3 linked regions of the Rattus norvegicus genome follow. The protein of the gene in region 1 binds, or shares a complex with, the protein of each later gene. Links are inferred from orthologs where the notes say so. Each region holds a gene or a part of one and is shown on either strand. Other genes may lie near its edges. The genes, in order: Bccip, Tent5c and Tent5a.

Evidence for each region.
Region 2: the proteins of Bccip (region 1) and Tent5c are in contact, whole or in part, in a cryo-EM structure (PDB 8EQB), measured with the Homo sapiens proteins. The link is inferred for Rattus norvegicus from reciprocal best matches to the Homo sapiens genes BCCIP and TENT5C. Residues at the interface, in NP_510868.1 of Homo sapiens: Val57, Asn58, Ile59, Glu60, Phe61, Glu62, Ala63, Tyr64, Ser65, Arg136, Gln146, Cys153, Lys155, Ala204, Gly205; in NP_060179.2 of Homo sapiens: Asp90, Asp92, Glu102, Gln106, Arg109, Lys135, Glu136, Val139, Gln140, Lys141, Leu142, Val143, Lys144, Val145, Cys146, Thr147, Asn164.
Region 3: the proteins of Bccip (region 1) and Tent5a are in contact, whole or in part, in a crystal structure (PDB 8EXE), measured with the Homo sapiens proteins. The link is inferred for Rattus norvegicus from reciprocal best matches to the Homo sapiens genes BCCIP and TENT5A. Residues at the interface, in NP_510868.1 of Homo sapiens: Val57, Asn58, Ile59, Glu60, Phe61, Glu62, Ala63, Tyr64, Ser65, Leu66, Gln146, Val149, Leu150, Phe152, Cys153, Glu154, Lys155, Asn156, Cys157, Glu158, Lys159, Glu163, Lys167, Leu203, Ala204, Ala206, Thr225; in NP_060103.2 of Homo sapiens: Arg87, Gly88, Asp139, Glu151, Gln155, Lys158, Lys184, Glu185, Val188, Gln189, Lys190, Met191, Val192, Lys193, Val194, Cys195, Asn196, Asp199, Trp201, Asn213, Arg289, Lys295, Glu331, Arg334, Gln341, Asn342, His343.

Annotation. Positions count from the first base shown.
Region 1 is NC_086019.1:197,947,211-197,954,679, forward strand, and holds part of Bccip (BRCA2 and CDKN1A-interacting protein), read left to right. Parts: intron 1-721; coding exon 722-796; intron 797-1,414; coding exon 1,415-1,495; intron 1,496-3,660; coding exon 3,661-3,750; intron 3,751-4,412; coding exon 4,413-4,600; intron 4,601-5,596; coding exon 5,597-5,771; intron 5,772-7,292; exon of another isoform or gene 7,293-7,303; coding exon 7,304-7,469. UniProt on the Homo sapiens protein: During interphase, required for microtubule organizing and anchoring activities. During mitosis, required for the organization and stabilization of the spindle pole.
Region 2 is NC_086020.1:190,558,744-190,566,735, forward strand, and holds the start of Tent5c (terminal nucleotidyltransferase 5C), read right to left. Parts: upstream 5,160-7,992; 5' UTR 4,927-5,159; intron 4,745-4,926; exon of another isoform or gene 2,604-4,744; intron 1-2,603. UniProt on the Homo sapiens protein: Catalyzes the transfer of one adenosine molecule from an ATP to an mRNA poly(A) tail bearing a 3'-OH terminal group and enhances mRNA stability and gene expression.
Region 3 is NC_086026.1:95,104,889-95,113,121, forward strand, and holds Tent5a (terminal nucleotidyltransferase 5A), read right to left. Parts: upstream 4,213-8,233; 5' UTR 3,927-4,212; coding exon 3,907-3,926; intron 3,719-3,906; coding exon 3,175-3,718; intron 2,148-3,174; coding exon 1,371-2,147; 3' UTR 524-1,370; downstream 1-523.

The sequences.
Region 1 (7,469 bases):
AGATAGATAGATAGATAAGCAGATGCGAAGGACTATGCTCTTGTGGAGCAGACACAGGAGACACAGAAAATAAATCTAAAATTTCAACTGTAATGTGTGTAGCCAGGAAATGGTGGCACCTTTAATCCCAGTACTCAGGAGGAAGAGGCAGGCAGATCTCTGAGAGTTTAAGACCAGTCTGGTTTACAGAGCTAGTTCCATAAGGACCAGGGCTACACCAAGAAACCCTGTCCTGAAAAACAAAACAAAATAAAAAAGCAACTGTATGTGCTATTAAAAGGGATGGGGAAGGCAGGAGATGGGACAGCAGGTAAAGGCACTTACTGCCACGCCTGACTACCTGAGGTCACCTCCCTGTACTGAGATGATGGAAAGAGAAACTGACTGCGGTAAATTGTCTCCTGACTTCATACAGGTACTGTGGCATATGAGCACATGTAAGATTCTCACTCTCTTCCCTTTTATGAAACATCTTGCAGTGTAGCCCAGGCTGCTCTCAAATTACTGATCTTCCTTCCTCTATCCCAAGTTGCTGGTTCACACCACATTAGAGTACATTTGATGTTTGTTTCAACCCCAACTCTGAGACATGCTCTGCAGATAACTAATAGAGGAACAGACCTAAAGGATGGAAACCTGGGCAAAAGAAAAATGTACAAAATGAAAATACTGCCTGTGTCGTCTGTAAGTCTGTGATGACCTGCTTCTCGTATTATTACAGGAAGTGAATATTGAATTTGAAGCTTATTCCATCTCAGATAATGATTATGGAGGAATTAAGAAGTTACTGCAACAGGTACCGTCTTTGCAGAACTTCCATGTATGTCTTCTGTCTCCTTTCCCAGGGTGAATGGCTGCTCGTGCTTTCCTCCCAGCTCCTGGTTACAATGCTGACCTTTGCTGCGTCCTGGAATGCTTTCCTTTCCGTGTGGACACTGCTTGAGATTCTCATCTCTTTCTCATAATTCACATCTGAGCTTGGTGGGGTAAAAAACAAAAATGTTGTAAGGGAGGAGGAGTTGGGCTTCCAGTTCAGAGGGGATGCTGTCCCCTGCGGTAGGGAAGGTGGGGAAGGCAGGCAGTGGGGCCCGAGGCCATCGTCACACGGCATCAGCAGCTCAGAGGCAGAGCATCACACATTCCTACCAGTGCCGTGAAGGCCGCCTTGCTGTACTTTGCCTTTACGTCAAATAATATGGCTGTGTTTGTCTTCTTTCTATACCTATTTGCTAATACCACTGGCTGTGTCTTTTCTGGAGTTTATGTGACTCTGGACGTTTGTTTTCCTCCTGGGTTTACTTTACAGCTACCTTGGTCAGGTCACTACATTTCATTGTTTCTGTTTGAATAATGGAATCACAGTGTTATTAGAAATTGGCTTTGATCTTAATTTAAAATATTTTTCTCCTTTCAGCTTTTCCTAAAAGCCCCTGTGAACACTGCAGAGCTGGCCAATCTCCTGATTCAGCAGAACCACATCGGGAGTGTGATTAAGGTCAGAGGGGAGATGGGCTCTGTGGGTGCTTTGTCCTCCTTATCTCCAGCTGAAAGGAAGTATTATTGAGGACTGCCCAGAGGTTACCGCAGGAATCCAGGCATCAGCCCTGGTAGAGAGAAGGTGTCTGACTTAGAAGGTATTTGGGAGGTGAAATAAGGCACAGTGTAGTGTACTGGGTCCCTTAGGGATGTGGGGGGTAGGTCAAGGTTGACTAACAAGTTTGCTAGAGCGCTGAGGTTGGCACACATAGAAGGTAGGTAGGTAGGGCTGATGAGTGAATTATGGGTGCGCACTCGGCGTCTGGAGTGCGGGATGCTGAGCAGCAGCTGGAGTCACTCAAATGTCAGTCACTGATATCAGACGTCATCGGAATTGTCATGGGAGAGCAAAGGACAGATACCCTGGTAATGCCAGCCATGCTTCTCTGAGCAAAAGAAATGGCAGAGAGCTGCTAGGAATGGCTGCAGCGGGAGGGGAAAGCGGTAAGAGTTCATAAAAACAAGGAGTGGGGTACTTAAGGAAGCACTTGTTCAGTAGGGTCACAGGAAACGAGGACCCAGCCCCAAGACTGCTCTGCCACCTGTCCCCTGGGATTCTTCTGGTTTCCTGTTGTTCTATTATAAAAAGTTCCACAGCTTAGAATTGCAGCAGGCATCTGCTTGGTTTGTGGACCTGCCATTTGGACAGAGGTCAGATTCCCTTCAGTTCCTGCTTTGTTCTGTGAGCCAAGGAAGCTTGGAGTGGGGCATTACTGCATGGCTCCTGGCACTGTCGCTGGGTCATCTGAAGGATAGGACAACTCAGAAAGAGATGGTGGAAGACCAGGGCTGGTTCTTGAGCCACCTTCTCATTCTCACCTAGTTTTGTTGAACCTAAGACATCCTTGCCAACTGGGCAGTGGTAGCCCATTCCTTTAATCCCAGCACTTAGGGACAGAGGCTGGTAGATCTCTGAGTTTGAAGCCAGCCTGGTCTATGGAGCTATTTCCAGGACAGCCAGGGCTACACTAAGATACTCTGTCTCAAAAAAAAAAAACAAAAAAACAAAAAAACAAAAAAAACAAAAAAAAAACAAACAAAAAAAACAAGCAAACAAAAACATTTTGCCAAGAGCTGTAGAGGAGCATTAACAGCCCATGGTGCTGAGGCAGCTGTAACAGGTTCGAGGGCGCACCAGACCATTATAGACCCCATTGTCCTAGGTTCGAGGGCGCACCGGACCATCGTAGACCCCATCGTCCTCTGGGGTGGAAGGATCAGTTTCATCTCATCTCATTCATTCAACATGGATTCCTTGAGTACTTTCTGTGTGTCAGGCTGAGGGCAGAGTGCCGTGAGAAGGGAGTTTATGGCCTGGACAAGCAAACAGGCACCATGTGAAGGAAGGGCTTTAGTAAACTGGCTAGGGGTTTAGTCTCCTAGTGGAGGAGCAGGCAGAACAGAGCTAGGGAGTTCAAGTTGGTTCACCATTGTCATTCCTTGCTGCTTGCTGTCTCCCTTTGCCCATGTGGTATATGTGTTTGCCATGTAAACCCAATTGTTTCTGTAATGGTCAGGAATTGCATTGTGTGAATGTGAATTTTAGGTGATAAAGTGTTAGAGGCTCCTGGAGATAGAAGAAATGGGCTGGCTCATGAATATCAACCTTACCCAGATTTAATAATATATTGAAATTCTGGTTTTAAAAAAATGTTTAGAATCTTCTTTTGAGACAGGGGAGCTCTGGCTGGCCTGGACTTCATAGAGATCCACCTGCTTAAGATTAAAAGCAAGGGTCAGGGTCACCATACCCAGATATACATGAGTCTTCTTTTTCCTTTTGGTTTTCAAGTCAGGGTTTCCCTGTGTAGTTCTGACCGTTGCTGTATGTGATTAACAGGCCTTGTCTCTAGGGAGCCCCAGGCCAGCCAGAACTACTCAGTGAAGCCCTGGCTCACAAAATGAAACTCAAAGCATCTTGTATGAAGCCGTGCAGCGCAGGATGATGTCATCCAGAATGTCTGGAGGCAGAGTGTTCTGAACGTTGACACACTGCACTCGGGACTCACTGCTCTGGTACCCGACCGCAGAAAAACAAGATTTGATTTTGAAAAGTGGAAAATTGGTGTTATACTTCTTTCCAGCCGAATAATGTAAAGTTGAAGTATTTTCCTCTTAAAACAGCAAACAGATGTTTCAGAAGACAGTGATGGTGAAGTGGATGAAGATGAGATCTTTGGCTTCATCAGCCTTTTAAATTTAAGTGAAAGAAAGGTTAGTTTCACTGCGTGGTATTCGGATCTGTGGTCAGGATGCAGTCTTTGTGTCAGAGATGATGCTGTCAGGGCAAGCGCTCCTTCCTGCTCTGTCCTTCTCAGTGTGGAGCGGTCTTGACCGGAGTGATTTGTACCAGCTTAAAGCTGATTACTCTGGTGGCATGATCAGTAACATCGTAGTGCCTAGTGTTGGGATGGTGGTTCTGACGCAGGTTCTGTTGCAAGATTCTGCAGCCAGTCTCTTAGCTCCCAGTACAGTGTGCATACAGAGGGTTTATTCAGCAGCTTCCAAAGTTGAGAGTGGGACCTTAACATGGGCTTACGTTTTCTCATCTCTTTATTGACTTAGTAATGAGTTCTAATAAAAAATTATGTCAGCTGCCTATTCTCTGAGAATAAGATGCGGGCCGCAGTCCACCTTCAGTTTTCAAAGGAACTTTCCAGTTAGTTCCCAACTGTTTTTGTGAGGTGGAATAGAAGTGCTGTTCCAGTGTGTGTTAATTAGAAACTCGACTTACCACCAATCATGGGATGGTGATTAGGTGTAGTGATGGCCGGAGAATTCTTCAGCAGTCATACCGAAGAAGCGCTAGGATGTAAAGGCAGCGGGAGGGAACCCAGCTCTTGGGGCAGAGAGCAAGCCTTCTCTTTCCTTTCCAGGGGACTCAATGTGCTGAACAAATTAAAGAGTTGGTTCTAAGCTCCTGTGAGAAGAGCTGTGAGCAGAGCATGGTTGAACAGCTGGACAAGCTTTTGAATGACACCAGCAAGCCTGTGGGCCTTCTGCTGAGTGAAAGATTCATTAACGTTCCTCCACAGATTGCTCTGCCTATGCACCAGCAGCTTCAGTAAGCAGTTCTGGGCAGTGCCTCAGACGCTCATTCCTTACTCAGGTAGCATCGGAGGTGGAGTCTGCAGCAGTGTAGGTTGGGCTGCAGCAAGCTCTGATGGGGACGGTGGGGTGGAGTAGTGCGCAGGGGCTGCTCATTTCCAGCATCCGGCCCCTTGAGAAGTTTTGATTACTGGTGGCAGGAATTTTAATATTTTCAAACATTCAGGTGGTAGAGAAACTGGTGAATTTTCAAGCTTTTCACATTTGACTGACAGTTTGCACATTCACACATGCCTGTAATTTGAACAAAATGTTGAACAAATACTAAAAAAACCAGAGTCAAATTCTTACATTCTGGTTTGATTAGTGAAACCAAATCCTTAATACTGCCCCTACTTCTTGGCCTCCCTATGTTGTTGAATACAGGAGTTTGAAGTTACAAAAACATTTAAACATAGAACTACAAAGTTTAGAGAATTGAGTGAGGGAAGGATTGTGTCACCTGTGCTTTGATGCACAGGGTTGAAGTGTAGACAGTCATGCTAGCTGTGTCCCTTGTGTAGACAGGCATGCTGGCTGTGTCCCTTGTGTAGACAGGCATGCTCGCTGTGTCCCTTCTCCCAGCTACGTCTGTGAAGTTGCTGCAGTGTCAGAACTGGGTAGTCACATGCTCTAGTGCTGTGCGCCGTGCCTGTGTGCCTCTTAATTTGCAGTTAAACATTGATTGTTTAAAAAGTGCAGGTTCTTATTTATTTTTAAATTTGCACAAAACAGTGAATCTGAGTGAGTCTGAGATTATTTCTTAGTGGGTAAGTGTCTTTCTGAACTCAGATTATTCACTGTTTACAGCAAAAGCCCGTCTCATCGCAGCCTAGGGTACAGCCAGTAGCGTGAGTTAGCCCAGAGGGTGCTGCATCAGTTTTCTGGGTCCAGATAGATGTAACCCAGTGGTGACCTGTGTGTGTGTGTCTGTGTCTGTGTCTGTGTCTGTGTCTGTCTGTCTGTCTTGTAGGAAAGAACTGGCTGAGGCACGAAGAACCAACAAGCCATGTGGCAAGTGCTGCTTCTACCTGCTGATTAGTAAGACATTTGTGGAGGCAGGAAAGTCTACTTCCAGAAAGAGGCGGGATGGCCTTCCACAGGAAGCACTGATGTTTGCAAATGCAGAGGAAGAGTTCTTCTATGAGGTAAGGATGCCCTGCTTCATCTCCATTAGCTCTAGTAGCTTTTCTTGAAAGTAAGACATCTTTAGGCTGGACCATGGTGCACATCTGTAATTGCAGCACTATGGGGAACAGAGGCAGGGGGATCTCTGAATTAGAAGCCAGCATGATCAACAGAGTAAGTTGCAGGACAGCCAGGGTTATACAGAGAAACAGTCTCAAGAAATTAAAAAAAACAAAACCAAAATCTTATCCTCTTGACTTAAGCCAAAGTCCTCTAGCCTACCCAGCTTTTTGTGGTCTCTGGCTGTTGGCTTACACACTATCTGGTACATCTTGCACACACAACAGCTTCCTATTACACTGTGTGTAGGTGGTGGGGTGAGGTGGGTACTGCCTGGGACTGGTTAGGCACTCAGAGCATGCTAACAGTGTGATGGTCAAGCCACATTTGCATGTTTCAGTTTTAAGTTTCGCCTGTGCACATGTGAGGGAGGTGATCATAGCTGCTCTGTGCCCTGAGGTCTGAGTGCTTCTCCCTCTAGCACTTGTTGTAGTGGTGGCTCATATCGTGATGGTGGGCAGCCAAGTCCTAGACAGTATTCTTACATTCTTTCTCTACTGCACTCTTCAAAAACCTCAGGGGTGACATTTTCTGAATTGGATGATACAGTTTTTAAGAATGTATATATTTGCCTGTCTGTGCGAGTGTGCACGCATGCTGTGATGTATGCTGTGACGTGCTTACGAGCACCATCTGCCCTGTAGAGGTGGGATCTCTGATTGCAGCTACTGTGCTGACAGGCCTCGTCAGCCCCAGGAGTGTGGGGGTTACAAATGCATCCCTGCATCCAGTTGTGTAGGTGGATTCTAGGGATAGATCGGCATGGTGGTCAGACGCGCAAAGCTAGGGTATTCACCCTTTGCGCTGTCTCTACTGACTGCAACAGTAGGGCAGCTCTGCCTTTGTTGCACAAGAAGTAAATAGCAAAAATAAGGTATGCAAGTTTGACAGTCTGGGATGGAATCACTGACACCCACATGAAACACTGGGACATGGTGGCACTTGCCTGTAACCCCAGCACAGACACAGGAGAATCCGGAGAGCTCACGAGTCAGTTTCTAGTTCAGTAGTGAACTCTGTACAAGTCAAGGAGGTCTGTGTAGGATTTCAGCATGGCCTAGCTATGCAAATGCCGTGTGGATACAGGGTTCCCAAGCTAAGGAAGTTCAGGCATATGAACAGCATTTGAGGACAGTTCTCAGTTCCACCTATCTGTCCCAATATTACCTTAACAACCAAGTGAGACCATGAAAATAACTTTGGAATTGGAAACAATGTCACCTCTGTCACTTGGATGCTTGTTCCAGCCTTGAAATGGTACCCTTTAGTTTATGGTCCTCCTGTGAGTTGACATGTGTTTGGTGTTTCATGAGTACTCTGTTCTGAGTGTCCCCTCCACTTTTATCTACACATGCAGTGTTCTTTATTTGGGTAAGTGAGCTCTGCCTCTGTGTTGATTACATTTCCCTCTGTGTCTCCTCCTCTGCTGCAGAAGGCAGTCCTGAAGTTCAGCTACTCCGTTCAGGGAGAGAGCGACACTTGTCTGGGAGGCAGATGGTCCTTCGATGATGTTCCGATGAAGCCGTTGCGAACTGTGATGTTAATTCCAGATGACAAGATGAGTGAGATCATGGAAACCCTGAAAGACCATCTATCCA
Region 2 (7,992 bases), on another chromosome or scaffold:
CACAGAGAGAACCAGGATTTGAGAGTAAAACACATGCGCGTCTTGGCCAGACTCGAACCACCTAGTACAGTAGCCACAAGCTTAGAAAGGTAGAAGGTCCAAACAGAAGTGCATAGTATATACAAAAGACAGCATAACCCCCAAGGCTTGAGCTAATGGATGTAATCTGTTTTACATCTTTTTGCACTGATTACTAACATAGTTTAACAGACAAGTTGATTTATTGTTTAAATGGTCTCATGTCTCTGAGAGAGCAGTGATTCTGTCTGCTACATAGATGACAGTAAAGAAATGAAGTAGCCAAGGGGTCTGCCAGGATCAGTGCCCAGGTGTCCCCCAGAGAAGGGTCCGCCTACAAGAGGCAAGGAAGCAAGCACAAAGTCTACAACAGTCTGGAATGGGACACAGCAGCAGCAACAGCAGTGGCGGCTTCTAGATGAACAACCCAGAGCAAACATCCGTGTGTCTTAACCGTCCTCTTTTCTCTACATCCCCATAGTCCACACACAGCTAGCACCAGAGCCTCAGGCAGCTGTGGAATCCTGACGCGGATCTCTAACTATGACAAAGAGGGGCAGGGGTCACCATAGCACACGGAGGGTCAGAGACACACAGCCAGGTCACATAGAAGGTACCTGGCCTCATCCTGTAAGGCCAAGGGTAGAAGCTAAGGAATACTGGGTGGGAGGAGGGGATGGCTCATGATCCCTGGGAATTTTTCTTCAGTTTTCGTGATAGGGGCCAGATGGGGAGACAATGGGAGATGGCGAAACAATGACAACAACAAACCCCTTCAGTTCAATATTAAAATTTTTAAATTAAAATAAAAACAAGAAAATGTGCAAAACAAAAAGCCCATATAACATACTGGAGCAGACAGATGCGGGGTAAGGTAGTCCTCTCAGATGAGAGGTCAGTCAGAGCCTGCACAGAGGTCAGAGGGGAAGGGACTATGTTCAGTTTTTTTCTCCAAATATCTAAGTCTGTATTTTGCACGGCAAAGAAGGACAGTTAAGGAAGACCTGGCCATGGGGCATCAAGGAAAGCATCAGGAAATCACAATCTTAGAAGAAGGCAGAGAGTCCTCAGAGATGGGCAGTTCCTGGGGGCTTACTCTAGTGCTCCAGGCACAAAGGACTGAGCATTGGCCAGAGATGGGGAGGCTTGCTGATGCTCTCATCTAGCTCCTGTCCACAGTCCCCTCTAAACCAGGTCAGCGAGGACGTCGAGAAACAAAAAAGTCAAAACAGAAGAGTCAGCAGAGCTAGCAGCTGAGTGAACACGGGAGAGAGAAAGGCTGAGTGAGCGAGCAGGGGCTGGGAGATCAGAGGCTGTGAGAGCAGGGGCTGGGAGGGCAGGGGCTGGGAGAGCAGGGGCTGGGAGGGCAGGGGCTGGGAGGGCAGAGGCTGGGAGGGCAGAGGCTGGGAGAGCAGGGGCTGAGAGGGCAGGGGCTGGGAGAGCAGGGGCTGGGAGAGCAGGGGCTGGGAGAGCAGGGGCTGGGAGAGCAGGGGCTGGGGTGGGTAGAGGTGCTCCGGTAGGGCTAGAAGCTGGCCGCTTTAGGAGTTTCAGCTGTCGATCAATTTGCAGGCACCTTGTTCCTTAGCTCCAAGCCTATGCTGCAGAGGCTTCACTGAAAAGATGATCAGGAAACCATCCAGCCTTTTAAATCTGGCGCTACTAACACAAAAAGCCCCATCTGGTCCCCTGGTCCAGCAGGATAGCTACTTCAACCATGCTTCCTTCTCTGCAAGGAACAGCAGGCAGCCCCCAGCAGAATGTGTATTCACATGATAGATGTGCCATGCATGCACTTTTTAGGCAGGGGTGAGGACTCTGAAGTGACCACAAACCCCACTTTTCTGGGGTCCATGTGCAAGGACAACTGAGAGAAAAACAAGTTCTTCAAGTATATCATAAAGCCAGGCCAGCTCTCTCACCTCTAAAGTTCTTCCACAGGCCTTTCGAATACCATTCCTTTGGCCTCTCTGGCACCTGGCACCAAACACCACCTAGGAAGCACTTTCTGACTCAACCACCATCATCCAAGAAAAAAGGACCACCCAATTTAAGGACCCACAGTGGGAAATGTTCTGCAACCACTGGACAACTGCTGCTTCGTGTCAGCAATTACTTCTTCTTGTTAAGAGCTTCGTCCCTGTTGTTTCAAAAAGCTCTGCAAACACTTCAAGAACAAGCTACCAGGGGCCAGCTGTACAGAATATTAATGTGAAAAAGTCCAGAAGATTCCCTTACAGAGTTATGTGAAGATGTTTTCTATAAACCTTTTGAACTCTAAGCTTCCTTTCGATGAATGCATCCAATCAAAAGGTTTCAAAGAGGGAGAAACCTTGGGTTCAAGAAATTAGGAGGTCAGCTTTACTCTTGCCTCAAGTAGCTTTAAACTCATCGAGCACACCTTTAAATATGGAGGGGCTGGTGTCATAATACAATTTCAACAGCTACAGTCAAAACAGCGGGATGGTAGAGGGCATCTCCCCATATTGCCCGTTACCTCATTGATGAGAAAAAGGAACAGACCAGTCTTAGTCCAAGAAACACCTCATTCTGCCTCACCACCTATTAACTGAGAGGGGGGAGGGGGAGGGAGGGAGAGGGAGAGCTCGCTTTCAGGAGGACAGGGAAGATAAACCCCTAAACATCATCTTAATTCAACACATCTCTGCTTCTATGGTTTTTCTTAGTAACATAGGCTGCCCTTCTTCCATGGCTGACTCTGAGACAGTACAGCATAGAAGAGAGAAGGCAGGGTACTACTTAGTGGATGGAGCTGGGCAGGAGGCAGAGAGGGAGGAAAGGAAGGAAGGAAACATTCAATGCGGCGTTCCCATTTTGTCACAGCTGAGCCTAGCTAATAGTACAACAGGGCACAACAGCCCACTTTTAAATTGCCTTCATTGTTGAGAGGTTCCCGGACTTTCCAATGGGCAGTGCAAGGCAAGTGTAATCTGCCTGGCCTTGGACTTAGCATGCAGGCTAAGCGTGTGCCTGACTGGGAGCCCACTGGGGCTGGGGGAGACGTCCAGGCTGAAAGTTCTGCAGAAAGCTTGGGAGCTATGCGTGCAGCAGAACTGGAAAAGCTGAAGAGTGAGCTCTTGGCACTCCACTCACACTCAGACCAACAGGGCCAAGGGCCAAGAGCCAAGTCCTCCCTTCTGAGTTCACAAACCTAATCTCTAGATACAAGGTAGGTATTATGGGAGAAACTCAGACTAAAGAGTGTGACTGTTTGTTCTAGGTGCACACACTAAAGTCACTCATAAAACTTCGGGACCTTTCTTTTGGTAACTGTCTAGAGATCGCTGAACAACCCCCACAATTTTAATGACAGTCATCGACATCCTGTGCAGATACTGGGACAAGTATTCCACACATCGAACTCATCCTTCTAAAAGTTCCTATCGTGTGAACTCCTAAACCAAACTATCTCTTCAGAGAGAAGGTTTCTGATTGGGATACTAAGCGCTCCATCCTCACAAACAAGGACTGCAGAGGACAGGGCCACTGCTGGTCCAGCTGCAGCAGGAAGAGAAAAGTGGCCCTTCTTTACTCTTCACCCCACACCCTTCAACTGCGGGGTAAAATGTGGAAAAACAATCACACCTCTAGTGACTTCCAGCTCGCTCGCTCGGGAGAATTCTTGGTAAGCTCTCCTACCACCCTCTTGGCTGCCTGGCTAGCTTTCTGGCTCCCTCGCTGCCTTGCCAAGCAAATTACAGTGGAAGTTGTTGTAGCCAGCAATGGCCACCGTCACCCTCCTTCCCAGGGTAGCTGGGGCAGCTGGGGGTCTAATTTAGGAAGATCTGAACATTTTAACTTTACTTTCAGAATACCAAACTCGTCATAATTCAAAGGATTATATATATAGCTATTCTTAATAAATCAGTAAGTCTACTAAGTCTTTCGTTGTAAGCACTTTAATCCTCGAATTGAGAGGGGAGGGGCTTAAGACTTAGGAATTGATCAGGACTTTCTGAAGGGTTTCTCCACATTAAAGGGAAGAGGGGAGAAAGGGACCCAGAGCATCTAGGTATGACAATCAACGCCGGTGGAAGTTTTGCGTTCTTGAAAAACCAGGCATTTCCTCATCAGGACTTTGAGGTAGCCTGCCTGCCTGCCCGTCCGCCAGTGCTAGGTGTAAAGGCTACCAGCTGGCACTGCAGGTTCCTTAACTCTTTCTATGGAAAAGGGCTATCACCCTCCTCGCAGACGCTCGGGACGATCCGGGAGCCGCGCCTCTAAGCCACCAACAGCACCGCTATCAGAGTCAACTGACTGACTGCATGGCTTTCAGCCTACGCAGTAAGCGACTTTCGATCCCCAAAGGGGAGGAACCAGGTCTCACAGCCGCCGTATTCTCGAGAAGTTTCCGAGAGACGCGCAGCTTCGATCATTTGGCCACGCGCGGTACCCACAGTTCCAAATAGAGAAGGATCTCAGCCGCCATCCTGGGCACTGAGCCCAGGGAACTGCCCTCCCCTCTCCGGCCAGGCTTTAGCCCCCGACCACAGCGTCTTCATCTACGCCGCCAAAACCGCGGGGTTCAAAATCGCCGGGGTTCCGGGCTCCGTGAGCGCGCCACAGGGGCGCAGCTCAGAGCTAGAGTACCGACTAGCAGAAGCAGAGAAAGAGCCACCTACACAACTGCCGCCGGGCCAGCAGGAACTCGCCCAAGTTTCCCAAAGCCCGAGCGCAGTCTCCGAAAAGTTTGCGCTCCTTCACAGAGGTAAGCCTGCGTCAGGGACGCGGGAGCCGGACGGGTCCTGACACCTGTCGGCATCTAGCCTCCATCTTCGGGGCACCCCACTAGGCTCTGCGGGGACCCACCCGGAGCCAGAGTGCGTGGCTCCCCACCGGAGGACCGCAGCAGCATCCTCCCACCTGTGGAGGATGGGAGCGTGGACTTACCTGGGCGTTGGAAGAAGAGGTGACTGAAGCAGGTGGTTGGCGTGGGCAGCCCCCAGCAGGAGCCGTGCGGAGACTTAGGCCCCCAGACAGCTGCGGCGAGTGAGCGGTCCGGCCGCCGCCCCCTCCGATCTTAACCGGCCTGACCACTCCCCCGCGCCTCCCCGCCCCTGCCCCCGCCCCGCGGCCGGCCTCCCGGGGGAGCCAGGGCGGGGCGCGACGGCCGAGGCCCCGAGGGATCCTTGCGCCCCGCGCTGACGGGGGGGGGGGGGGGGGGCTGGACGAACGCTGCCCTCTGATTGGCTTCCCGGGTCAATGGTTGCCGAGAGACAAGTAAACCTCCCGCGGCGCAAAGGGGCGGGGTGACCAAGAGGCAGCATTGCGCAGGCGCAATAGAGAGAGAGAGAGAGAGAGAGAGAGAGAGAGAGAGAGAGAGAGAGAGAGAGAGAGAGAGAGAGAGAGAGAGAGAGAGAGAGAGAGGAGAGAGAGAGAGAGAGAGAGAGAGAGAGAGGAGAGAGAGAGAGAGAGAGAGAGAGAGAGAGAGAGAGAGAGAGAGAGAGAGAGAGAGAGAGAGAGAGAGAGAGAGAGAGAGACACGGGTTGTGGGCGCTGAACTAACTTTGAGCATGAGGGGACAGTTTCCCTCTGTCCTCTCCGCTCCTCTCTACCTTCAGCCTTCCCTCGCCTGGACTCTTCTCCCCTCTACCCAACTTGCTCCCTGCTGGGTGCTCTTCTTTCAAAGTTTTAGGCGCTCTTCACCATAGTGCTCTCTGGTTTCCGGGATCCCGGAGTGGAAGCCCACGCTTGCCTCGCTCGGTGTTTGTGAAGTCGGAAAACTCTTAAATGGGCCCTGGAAATCTTTCTGATTCCTCGAGCAAATTGGCTGGAGGTGAGGTCGTGGTCCTGGGGGAAAGGAAGCAGCTGATTCTCTGGCCGCGGGGACACCTGTGTGCAGTTGGCAGACCTGGGAAGCCATCACCAAAGCCTTAAGCACAGCAGCTCAGCCCTCCTGAGAATAGCGCTGGTCTGTGCTGCTTGTTACTGCTCGCAGAGGGGGGCCCCCATCCCCGCCCCCAAACACACACGACCCTTAATTTCCTTGCACGTGGTTGATGGCTCTGCTTTAGAATTAAGGCTGATGAGTGGAAATCTTCTTCACCTCTTAACTATCTGGAAAGGCCTTGCAAGAGGATAGTTTGCTTTGTTTTTTTGAGGTTTTTTTTTTTATACAATGCCTCCTGAACCCAAGACAGGCTTCCAAGTTGCCTTGGTTGACTTTTAACTGGCCCTCCTGTGTGCACCTCCCAACTGCTGGGACACGCCCAGCTTTACTAACTGGCTTAACCTATTCTCCAAAAACCTCTATTTCCCATCTGTAGTATGGAAATGTGAGGTCGATATTAGGGAAATAGTTATTAATCATGCACTGCTTGGTATGCAGTTCATGCCAGCTACTAAATAAATTAGAAAGCTGTGTTAATAAACACTTGTTGAGCTTCGTTTGACCCTCTGCTGGGTACTGGGGGCTAGATGGTTTCCTGAATCGGTGCTCTCCTCTGCCCTCTTAGCACCTCTGTGGAGCAGGAGTGCCCTGCAGTGTCTGCTAGACTATGAAGAGTTCTCACGAACGTGCTTTCTCTGGTAGGGGAAGGAAATTCTCAAAACTATAACAGTATAAGACATCAGTATAAGAACTTACATGTTCTTGAACACAAATTCAGGCTATAGGGCCAGGTTTGTTGTTGTTAATGTGAGCCCTGTCTGATCTCATAGTGTCTATTATTGTGTGCAAAATGATAGGTGTGTGTACCCACAGAGCTGTCACTCAGAACATTTCCAGCTTGGCCATGGCTCCTGTCACTCAACATATTACAGGGTTACCAATATTAAGATCTCAGTCTTCATATATCAATTGTACCTGCATCTGAACTGCACATGGGGAAAGAAAGCATGAGCATGTTTCCGTCAATGAGATTTCTCCGTGTTGTATGTAACCATGTTTCATTCTTCACTACTACATACTCATTAAATAACCAATAATGTATGCAGTCTGCTGACTGTTTGATATGCGTTTCACTTGCTTCAGGTTTTGAACGGTCCATAGTGAAATTGCTGTCCACATTCTTCCCTGTGTCTTCTGTACAGCATTGAGTTGTGTCAGGCACATGCTGGAGACTGGAAATTCTAGTTCACAGGGTATCCACACGTTAAACTTTAAATGTATTTCCAGTTATCTGAGTTATTAAAGATAACTAAAGGGGGGGGACAACAAGTGTAAACCATAAAACAAACAACAAATAGATATATTTGTAAAGCAGAATGGGAAATCTGTTTAATGTTCCAACCAGTGCTGTAAAGATTCCCGATGACCCCACATATTTACCACTTTGGGATCATGCTGTTTAAAGTTTTTCTAGTTACATTTTACTGTTGTTGGAGGGGGGTGTGCGTGCCGCAGTGGGCGTGTGGAAGTCATTGAACAACTTGTTGGGAGTTCCAGCTCTCCACCGTGTGTGAGCTGGGGACTGAGTTTAGGTCATCCTCAGGCTTGGTCATAAGCAGCTTTACCCTCTGAGCCATCTCCGTGGCCCAAGTGTTTTCTTTGTAAATGAAAAACCGGGATGTGTATTTCATTATAATTAGACGTTCATTTCTCTGGTGACCAGTACTACTGAGCAACTTCTCAAATGTTTATGATCCATTATGATGGTCTATGGGGGGGATGTATCTATGTGTGTCTTTTGCCCATTTGAACTGTATTCAGTTCTTCACATAGTCTGGATATAACTCCTTTCTTATATCTCTTCCAAATACCTTCTCTCAACCTGTAGCTGGTTTATAGTTTACTGTTATTATCAGTAAAAAGAGTTTCTTAATTTCCAATCAGCCCAACTTACCAAGCATATCTCTAATGTTTAGTGTTTAAGGAATCTCTGCCTAGCCCAAAGCCACAAAGATGGTTGCCTATGCTCTCTTCTAAGAACTGGGTTTTAAGCCTTGAGGAAGTAACTGACCTTCTGCAAAGCTCCAATCTCAATAACATTTAAACAAATTATTACCTTGGCCTTTG
Region 3 (8,233 bases), on another chromosome or scaffold:
GAGAAGTGTGCTACCAAGAAGTCTCCCATTTGTGAAGTTCTCTGGTTCAGTGAAAATAAGGAAAAAAAACTCGCTAAAAATGTATAATCTCTGCTTTTCCTATCAAATATATTACTCACATCCCTCCATTTGTCTCATTTTTATATGGGTTTTACGCCATCATTGCAGTATGCCCATGTCTTCTAAGATCCTACCCAAAAACATAAAAATCACTATCTTTAAAATTTTTCCTCTTTGATACATTATTTTAGGTCATAGACAAAGTAGTGTGTGTGTATATATACATACATATCACATATGTGTGTGTGTATACACACAAACAGTATATACGTACCTATAACATCACACCAAACAATATCAACTTTATATAGGTATTTGTCAAAAAAAAATTAGGCCATTTCTGCCACCATTCACAAGCTTAATATGTTGCTTTATTTTTTTTCTTGAGTCCCTGATAAAATAAAATAATTATTAAACCATAAAATAACCTTTTCCACTTCTAATCTTCTGAAAGCAACAGGCACTTTGATGTGTACTGGTGTGTAACAAATATAGTAACTCTTTATATATCCTATCCTACCTCTTCTGCTTGGGAACTTTTATCAGTTAAATCTTTGGTCCTTGCGCATGTTTTCTTGGCTACAGCTGGTTTTTGCTTGGGTCTTCACATTTAAGAAAAGGAAAAGAAAAAAAGAACGCAAGCTTTGCACGGAGCTGGAATCAAGGGGTTGTGTCATCCTTAAGTTCTGCTGTTTGTTATGAGGACAGCATCAACCTGCCTACCGTTCATTTGGACTGAGCTGTTTCTGTGAGGAAAACAGGATCACTCCAAAGGGAGCACTTGCTGCTAGACAGATGGTAATCCCTACCAGTAGCCCTGCTTTCCCTGGTCACTTTCTGACCTCCTCAAGTGATAGGCAAGGCTTTCTTCCTCAGCATTTTCCCATTGTGAACGCCATCTTAAAAGTTTCCCCACCATTCCCCTTCCCTATGGCAGAGCTATGGGAGTAGTTGCTGCAAACCCATATTGTCAAAATCAAGCCGGTTTTTTTTTTTAATTCTCTTGTTATTTTGGGAGAATCTGGCTGCTTTCCCTAACAGGCCTCTTTTTGTTTCAAGATACAATCCGATTGGATAGAGACCATAGGTGGAGAGGGTGACGAGTTGAGATCATGCTCCCTTATGTATGGAAAGATCCCCAAGCATTGCCAACTTTAAAATCGGGAGCAAGTCCTCAGTGCACAAAACACATCCCTAATTAGGGCCGGGTCACTCCCCTTTTTTGGTGTTGTTTCATAATTTTTCTTCCTTTTTTTTTTCATTTTACTATCTTTGAAATGGCTTCCCCATGGGACATTTTTAAATGATTCTTAATTGCAGGGTAACCAAGTAGAATACGTCTGCTGCTGGCATGTGAATACTGGCTGAACCTGTGCGATGTAGTAATTGCTAAAGTTAGCATCTGCGACATAGGGGGCCGGCTGGTAATAGCAAGTGACATTAGCCACATTAGGAATGACATTTTGGTCAGCTAGCACCCGGATTGCCAGCATGGTGATAAGGTTTAAAGTCTGCCTTCTCTCATGTCCCATCAGGCACACCGTACTCTCGTTTACCACTCCGTGGAGGGTCATGAGATAGTCATACTTGCGGTCTTCCAAGCCCACGAAGTGGTTCTGCAAGTAGGATTCCAGCTTTCTCTGCTGCTCTCCGATGTCTGAGAAGTCAATAAAGAACCTGGAACACATGTACCTCTGAAGGGTCTTGATCTCCTCAGAGGCAGGCCTGAAGCCCCGCACTAAGAGGTTGCAGTACTTAAGCAGGCCTCCTCCTCTTATTTCCTCGGGGTTTCTGGTGGCAATGATCTTGTTGCAAAGGTGATCGAAGGCTTCGTGGAAATCACCGTAGACACTCTCGCCGATTATGGTGGGGTGAAATGTCTCGGTCATTGGGTTCTCTGAACACTCGTAAAAGAGGAGAAGAGAGTCTAATTTGATTTGAAAAGAATCTACACTGAATTCAAACTGCCTCCGGAGGGAATCCACAAACTTCAGCTCCACATTTTTGCCGCTGTTGTTTGACAGGGATATAAGGCTCCACCGGTCAGAATCATTGCACACTTTAACCATTTTCTGCACATACGCTTCCTAGGATGTAAAAGATAAAACAAGAAAAAAATGAGCAAAGCTGGAAAAGGAACAATAAATGCTTCTTTGCTGAGAATTATTTTGCCCCTTCCTGTTTGTTTTGTTAAGTTTCAGCAAAACACTACCTACAAGCTTAAACAGACTTCGGAAAACAGGGGGAAAAAATACATTTAACGAGTAGTTTTGCCGTCTGGGAAAGAGACTAGAAGTAATAGTTTGAGGCTTTTGGCAGACGCGGCAGCATACTAAGACGTTCTGTTGTCATGTCTGACTTCAAATGTTATTTTTTGAAGATGGTCTAATAGGCACAATATTCACTCGCTATCCACAGAAAGGCAGACACTGTCGTGGAGTCCGCCTCTCACACCCTTGCCTCCAACCACGCAGTTCTCCTCCCCCTTAGGCAATCAATCTTATCAGTCTCTCCAGTAACACACTACACTCACAGCCAAAGAGGAACTAAATTGCCTTCAGACAACTTTAATTAATTATACAAAATGCCACCTAAACCGAAGGGGAGGGGCACACTACTATGCCCTCAACTCGTGAATTCACAGGGAAAAGCACCAAATATCTTAAACGCTGGAGTCAGTTGAATCCAGAGTAGGAATCTATTCATATTTTCCAATACAATAAAAAACCATTGACTCAGTTCTGCTTCGGGCTGCTATTTTTCCCAAAGTCTAGATCACAAGATGACTCAAAAAAATTATTTACATCATTCCATCCTTCCACCAATCACATTATACTCTGGACACGAGTCCAGGAAGGAAAGTCAAGAGTTAAACCATAGAGAGAAGGAAGAGAAGGAAACGCAGAGGAGGAAGCAGAGTTGTGGTGCTGGAGCTCCCAGGAAACTAAAACACTCCATAGCACTCACGCACATTAGTACACTCGTGAAAAAAAGAATAAAAAAATAAATAAATGTACTCCCTACGGCCAAACGGTCCGCAGTGAGGGCAAATCCGGCTTGCTTTCTCCCCGCCCCCGGCCCGCCACTGTGCCCAAGCCCATCAGGTGGCTTTACCTTGAGAGTGAGCGGCGTGATCTTCTCCTTGTTCACCCCTTCGGGCAAGAAGTCTAACAGGCAATCCAGCACGACGTCCTTCACAGTCTGAAACTCTTCTTCCCCACGCAGGTCGGCGCAGAAGATGAGGTCCAGATCCTTGTAGCCCAGGCCGCTGTCTTGGTGCAGGACGTGACTGGCGGCCGAGCCGTTGAGGCGCACGTCGCGGACACCTATGCTCTTCTCCTCCAGGCGCCTCCGCACCACCTTCACAATCAGGCTCGGCTGCAGCTCGAGCGTGGGGAAGTTGCCGCGACCGTGGATCGGGATGGTCTCGCTCAAAATGCCGTCCAACCGCTGCACTTGCTCCCAGTTCAGCACGTTGCAGTGCGCCGTGGGGCTTTCGCAATAGTCCGAGCAGCGGTCGCCGAAGCTGCCACCGCCGCCGAAGTCACCACCCAGAGGGATGTAGGGGCCGCCGGTCAGCTCGTCCTCTGCCATGGCAAAGTACCCTTCGCTCTCAGCCATGTAGTGCCCGCCGAACGCCACTTGGCCTTGGTCAGTCCTAAGAGGAAAGAGTGGGTTTAGGGGAGCGGCAGGAAGGTGTGCGGGTGCGGGGACCGGGGTCCCGCCCAGGGGCCTGGGCTCCCCCTCCCCGATCATGACGTCCCAGGAGCTGCCCATAGGAGCCCTCCTCCCCCCACCGACCCCAGTGCCCAGCCGCGCGCCGCGCCCCGCAGAGCAGCCCCGCACCAAAAGTATCTCTGATGCATCTGGAAAGCACAAGCGAGAGTCCCGTCTGTGTCACCTGGAGGCGGCCGCCCCTTCTAGGAGCGCAGGCGAGCGAGGAACCGCGAGGCGGACACACTTCGCAGGAACTGCGAGTGCGCTCGGGGCAGCGGCCCGAGACTTCTCTGCGCCGACCCCCGCCGCGCCCTGAGCGTTCCCGCCCCTTGCCCGCGCCCCGCCCGCGCCCCCGCTGCGGTGGTCTCGGAGGTGGCGGCTCTCGACGCCGCCGATGCCACCGCGCACACTCGCGTCTCTGGAGCTTTAGCAGTTGTGCGGGGGGAAATGTCTTCAGTACTTTTTTTATACCGGGCTTCTCCGCGCTTCCGGGGCCCTTGCGCGCAGTGCTCGCCACACCCTCTCATTTGCATAGAGCACCGCCCCCCAGGGCTGGGTGGACAGTCGCCCGAGCTCAGGGCTGCTGGAGCCAGGCCAAGGTGCGCAGCCCCTGGCTAATGTGCACAGACAGATGCCTGTGGCTCCTACGTGTAGATCTGTCCATTTCTGCACGTCCGCACACACGCACACGCGCACACACACCCCTGAAGAGGAGACACTTTGCCTCAAATGTGATAGATGTCCATCAAAACTGGATCAGGGTTAAAAAATCATGCAACTATAGAAACTTCCCAAGCCTAGCCTTCTGGCCGGGTGTAGCGCGTCATTTGCCGAGTAACTCTGGGTCTCCTGGAGGTTCCCCCAACAGTGTCCGTTTGTGGCTAGACCGCCGATTCCACTAAGGACCCTGGGCCAAGTGTAGTCTCCAGAGGCAACTGATCACGCACGTCAGTCTCCGTGCGGGAGGGGGAGGGTTTACTGAGAACTGAGTTTCGATTCTCGAAACCTCCAGAAGTGCTGGGGAAGTCGGATGCCAGCCAACCAGCCTGAGTGCGCGTCCAGCTGCTGCGCGCGAGCCGGGCAGGCGCGCGTTACCTATCACACAGCTACAGGAGCTCGCGGCCAACCGGCGGGGTCTCGGAGCGCAACCCAGCAGTGCAGGAAAGCGGACCCAAGGGTGGCGGTCCTTCGGCTCAGACCCGAGGGACGAAGTGCATTCCTAGCAGTCTCTAAGATTCTCAGTTCTCGAGTGAATAAAACCTCAATGATCTAGGTAGGGTCTGGCTCCTTACCAGCCATAAAGGGCAAATCTAAAAGACGCGAAGTTTCTCCCCTCCAGCTTCAGTCGCCAGTGTAGCGCTTAAGGATTGGAAAAGGTTATCTGCGCGCTCTGGCACCACAATGTTTGCTAGAAAGCTCCGGCTTTCCCTTGTCCACTTCCTCCGCCGCCCGCTGCCTCTGTACAAAGTAATGCTTTGCAGTCCTTGCTCCAGGTAGAGGCTGTGGGCCGAGGCAGTCAGGTTAGAGAGAGGTCCTGGAATGAACAGCCATTACCCCCATGACCCTAGACAACTTCAGAGAACCAGCCTTTGAATTTAGGGAGCCCTGGCCTACAAGCCCAACCTGTGTGGCTCTGAGTTGAGGGATGGGATGCAAGGGTGTCGCCCACGCGGATCTAGCTGCGTGACAACGCCGCCCCCTGCTGGTGCCCTGTGGAGCTGTGAGTCCACAAAATGAAGACACTCTACTAGAGGCCAGGCTTTCTTAGCATAGGCCCGGCCTAGGCCAAATTGAATTGAGCGATTAAGGATCCCTGGACCCCTACATTGTTCTCAAATCCCGCTACTTCCTTTCAGGACATGTCCAACCATGAGCAGTGCCTAGCAACACATTTCGTATATACGAAATGTGTGTGTGTGTGTGGGTGTGGGTGTGTGTGTGTGGGTGTGTGTGGCAATCACACACGAGCGTGTATGGCACAGTCTTACTGGGTAGCTCCAATTGGCCTCAAAATCAACATCCTCTGAAGTGATGTGATTACGTTTGTGAGCCACCACCTTCCACCTTTAGCTCTTCCCACACACCTCACAGTCTTCAGGTCAAGAAGAAGGCGTCAGTGCCATGGGGGATTGGGAATAAAGGGGTTACAAGGTAATGATCGCCTCCCAAATTCATAACTTTCATACGTACGGGATCAGGTCTTGCACAGCCATCTGACTGTGAATGCTATTTAGGCTTCATTGCCGAATGAGATATCCCTGGCTTAGTTCTTCCTTCTCAGGGGAAACTGAGGCAAGCAACTGCAGCAAGGCCGGTGGGGGCAGGGAGGAGGGCAAATAAGAGAGGAGACTACTACTCTGGATACAGAGAGAGAGAGAGAGAGAGAGAGAGAGAGAGAGAGAGAGAGAGAATATAAAAATAGTTTCTTGATAAAGTATCAGGAAATATTTTCTTCTTGATAATTTTGAGTTTTCTTAAAAATAATGTCAAAGAGGCTAGTCATAGATTAAATACATTGCATTTTTTTAAAAAAAAAAAAAGCAATAGTTCAGCCCCACTCTCATTACTTTGCATGGTATTTTAAGCTTCCATCAAAAAGAACGGAGAAAAATAAAGCTGAAACTAGAGTAGTGTGTGAGCCGTGAGTTCTTTGCTCACACCTGCCATGTATCCTATGAGGCTGACGGGCTCAACTTTGTTAGAAAGCTGCCAGGGAGGGGATCCTGACAAGAGGGCACAACCAGAGCTTCCACTTTTCCACTTCACCAGTAGTTTTGTCCTGTTCCCTCCCTCAGGAACCAGCACCCTTCTCTCCACAGCTGCTCCCAAGGCCTCTCCCAAGAACAGGAGACTTGGATGAGACGGGTGGATCGTGGAGTGCCTACCATGCCATACCACACCATACCACGTGCTGAGGGAAAGAAGAGATCCAGTCACCGGGTCGGGGAACACCCCATTTCCTCTAGCTGGCAGTCCTTTGTGGGTAACACTTCCTTAATAACAGAGCATTCCACACTTTCCAGGCTTGACTAGACCCTCCTGCCTGCCTCCCACACTGCGACATCTGGGGCAACGCACTCTTGGCAGTGCCACAGAAGGCAATTGAATTATTGGATTAATATATGCCTGCTGCCTAGAAAGGCTACTGGTTACTCAGTGCTGAATGGAAGCACATGTTCTTCATTGTCCCCCTTCTGTCGTCAAAGCGAGGTAATATTTATATTCTGGAAAGTTGCAGCCATCCTTACACGAAACTGCAAAGTTTGCAATTGTAAGCACTAACTTGCTTTCTGTTGATGGCCAAGGGAAGTACGAGGGAAGAAATTCTGTATTTCCCAGCCCATTCACGGCCAAGACACTTTGCAGCATAGTTATTCTGGTATTAGACTCACATGGACTTGACTTTTGGAGAAAGGGTAGAAGGCTTTAGCTTCTGGGCTTATTTGGTAATTTAGTGTTTTTCCCCTTTAGAATGAAAACAAAACAAAACCAAAGAACAATGGCAATATGATAAGGTTAGAGCCACCACAAGGAGCTGGAGAAATGGCTCAGCGTCTAGAGGGACCTCTTGCACAGGACACCTTCACACCCCAGGTGAGTTAACAATACCCATGTCAGGAAGCTCACAACCATTTGTAACTCCAGTTCCAAAGGATCCAAGAGTTTCCATGGGCACCTGGAATATACACCCATGCGTGTGACACAGACACAGAGAGAGAGAGAGGGGGGGGGGAAGGGAGAGGGAGAGAAAGAGAGGAAAGGGGGACTCATGTAACTTTTTAAAAATTCTGGAACTCTTAAAACCACCACAAAAATGAAATTGTGTATTTTAGGCTTCTTCCTGAGAAAGCAAACTATCTTTACCTGAAATATTTTTAATGGAAAGCCTACTAGAGATTTTTTGAGGAAAACATGTCACTTGTAGCTAGTTGTTCTTGATTTGCGACTTATGGTAACAATCAATCCAGACTTAGCATAGTAAGAGAAAGGTCAATTATGGCCTTATTAATTGAATATGCTAGCATGTGCCACACAGTATGCTCAATATTTTAAATATGTTCTTTCTTAAGCTAAGCTCTCCCCAGACCTCAGCTTTGCATAGTAAGTCCCCATTATCTGGATTGGAATAGTAAGGCATTGGAAGGTCGAGCGTCTTTCAGAGGAGGCGTGGCCTTAGCCTATACCCACCCATCCTTCTCGGAGTCTCTTGCATCCTATGGGTTGGGTTCACCCTGCCTTCTGACACTCATTTTAAGCATAAAATTTTAAATTAAGATTAAATTTTTAACCTGGAATTATACTTTATTTTTTTTCCAAGTAGTAGATGTTCATTCCAGCATAACATTTGGAACACACATGTTTAATCTTGAATCAACTGCTAAGAGCCAAACTGTACCATGAACTGACTGAACTGATGGGGATGCCCGCCCCCACCCCCAAGCCCAGAAAATGACTT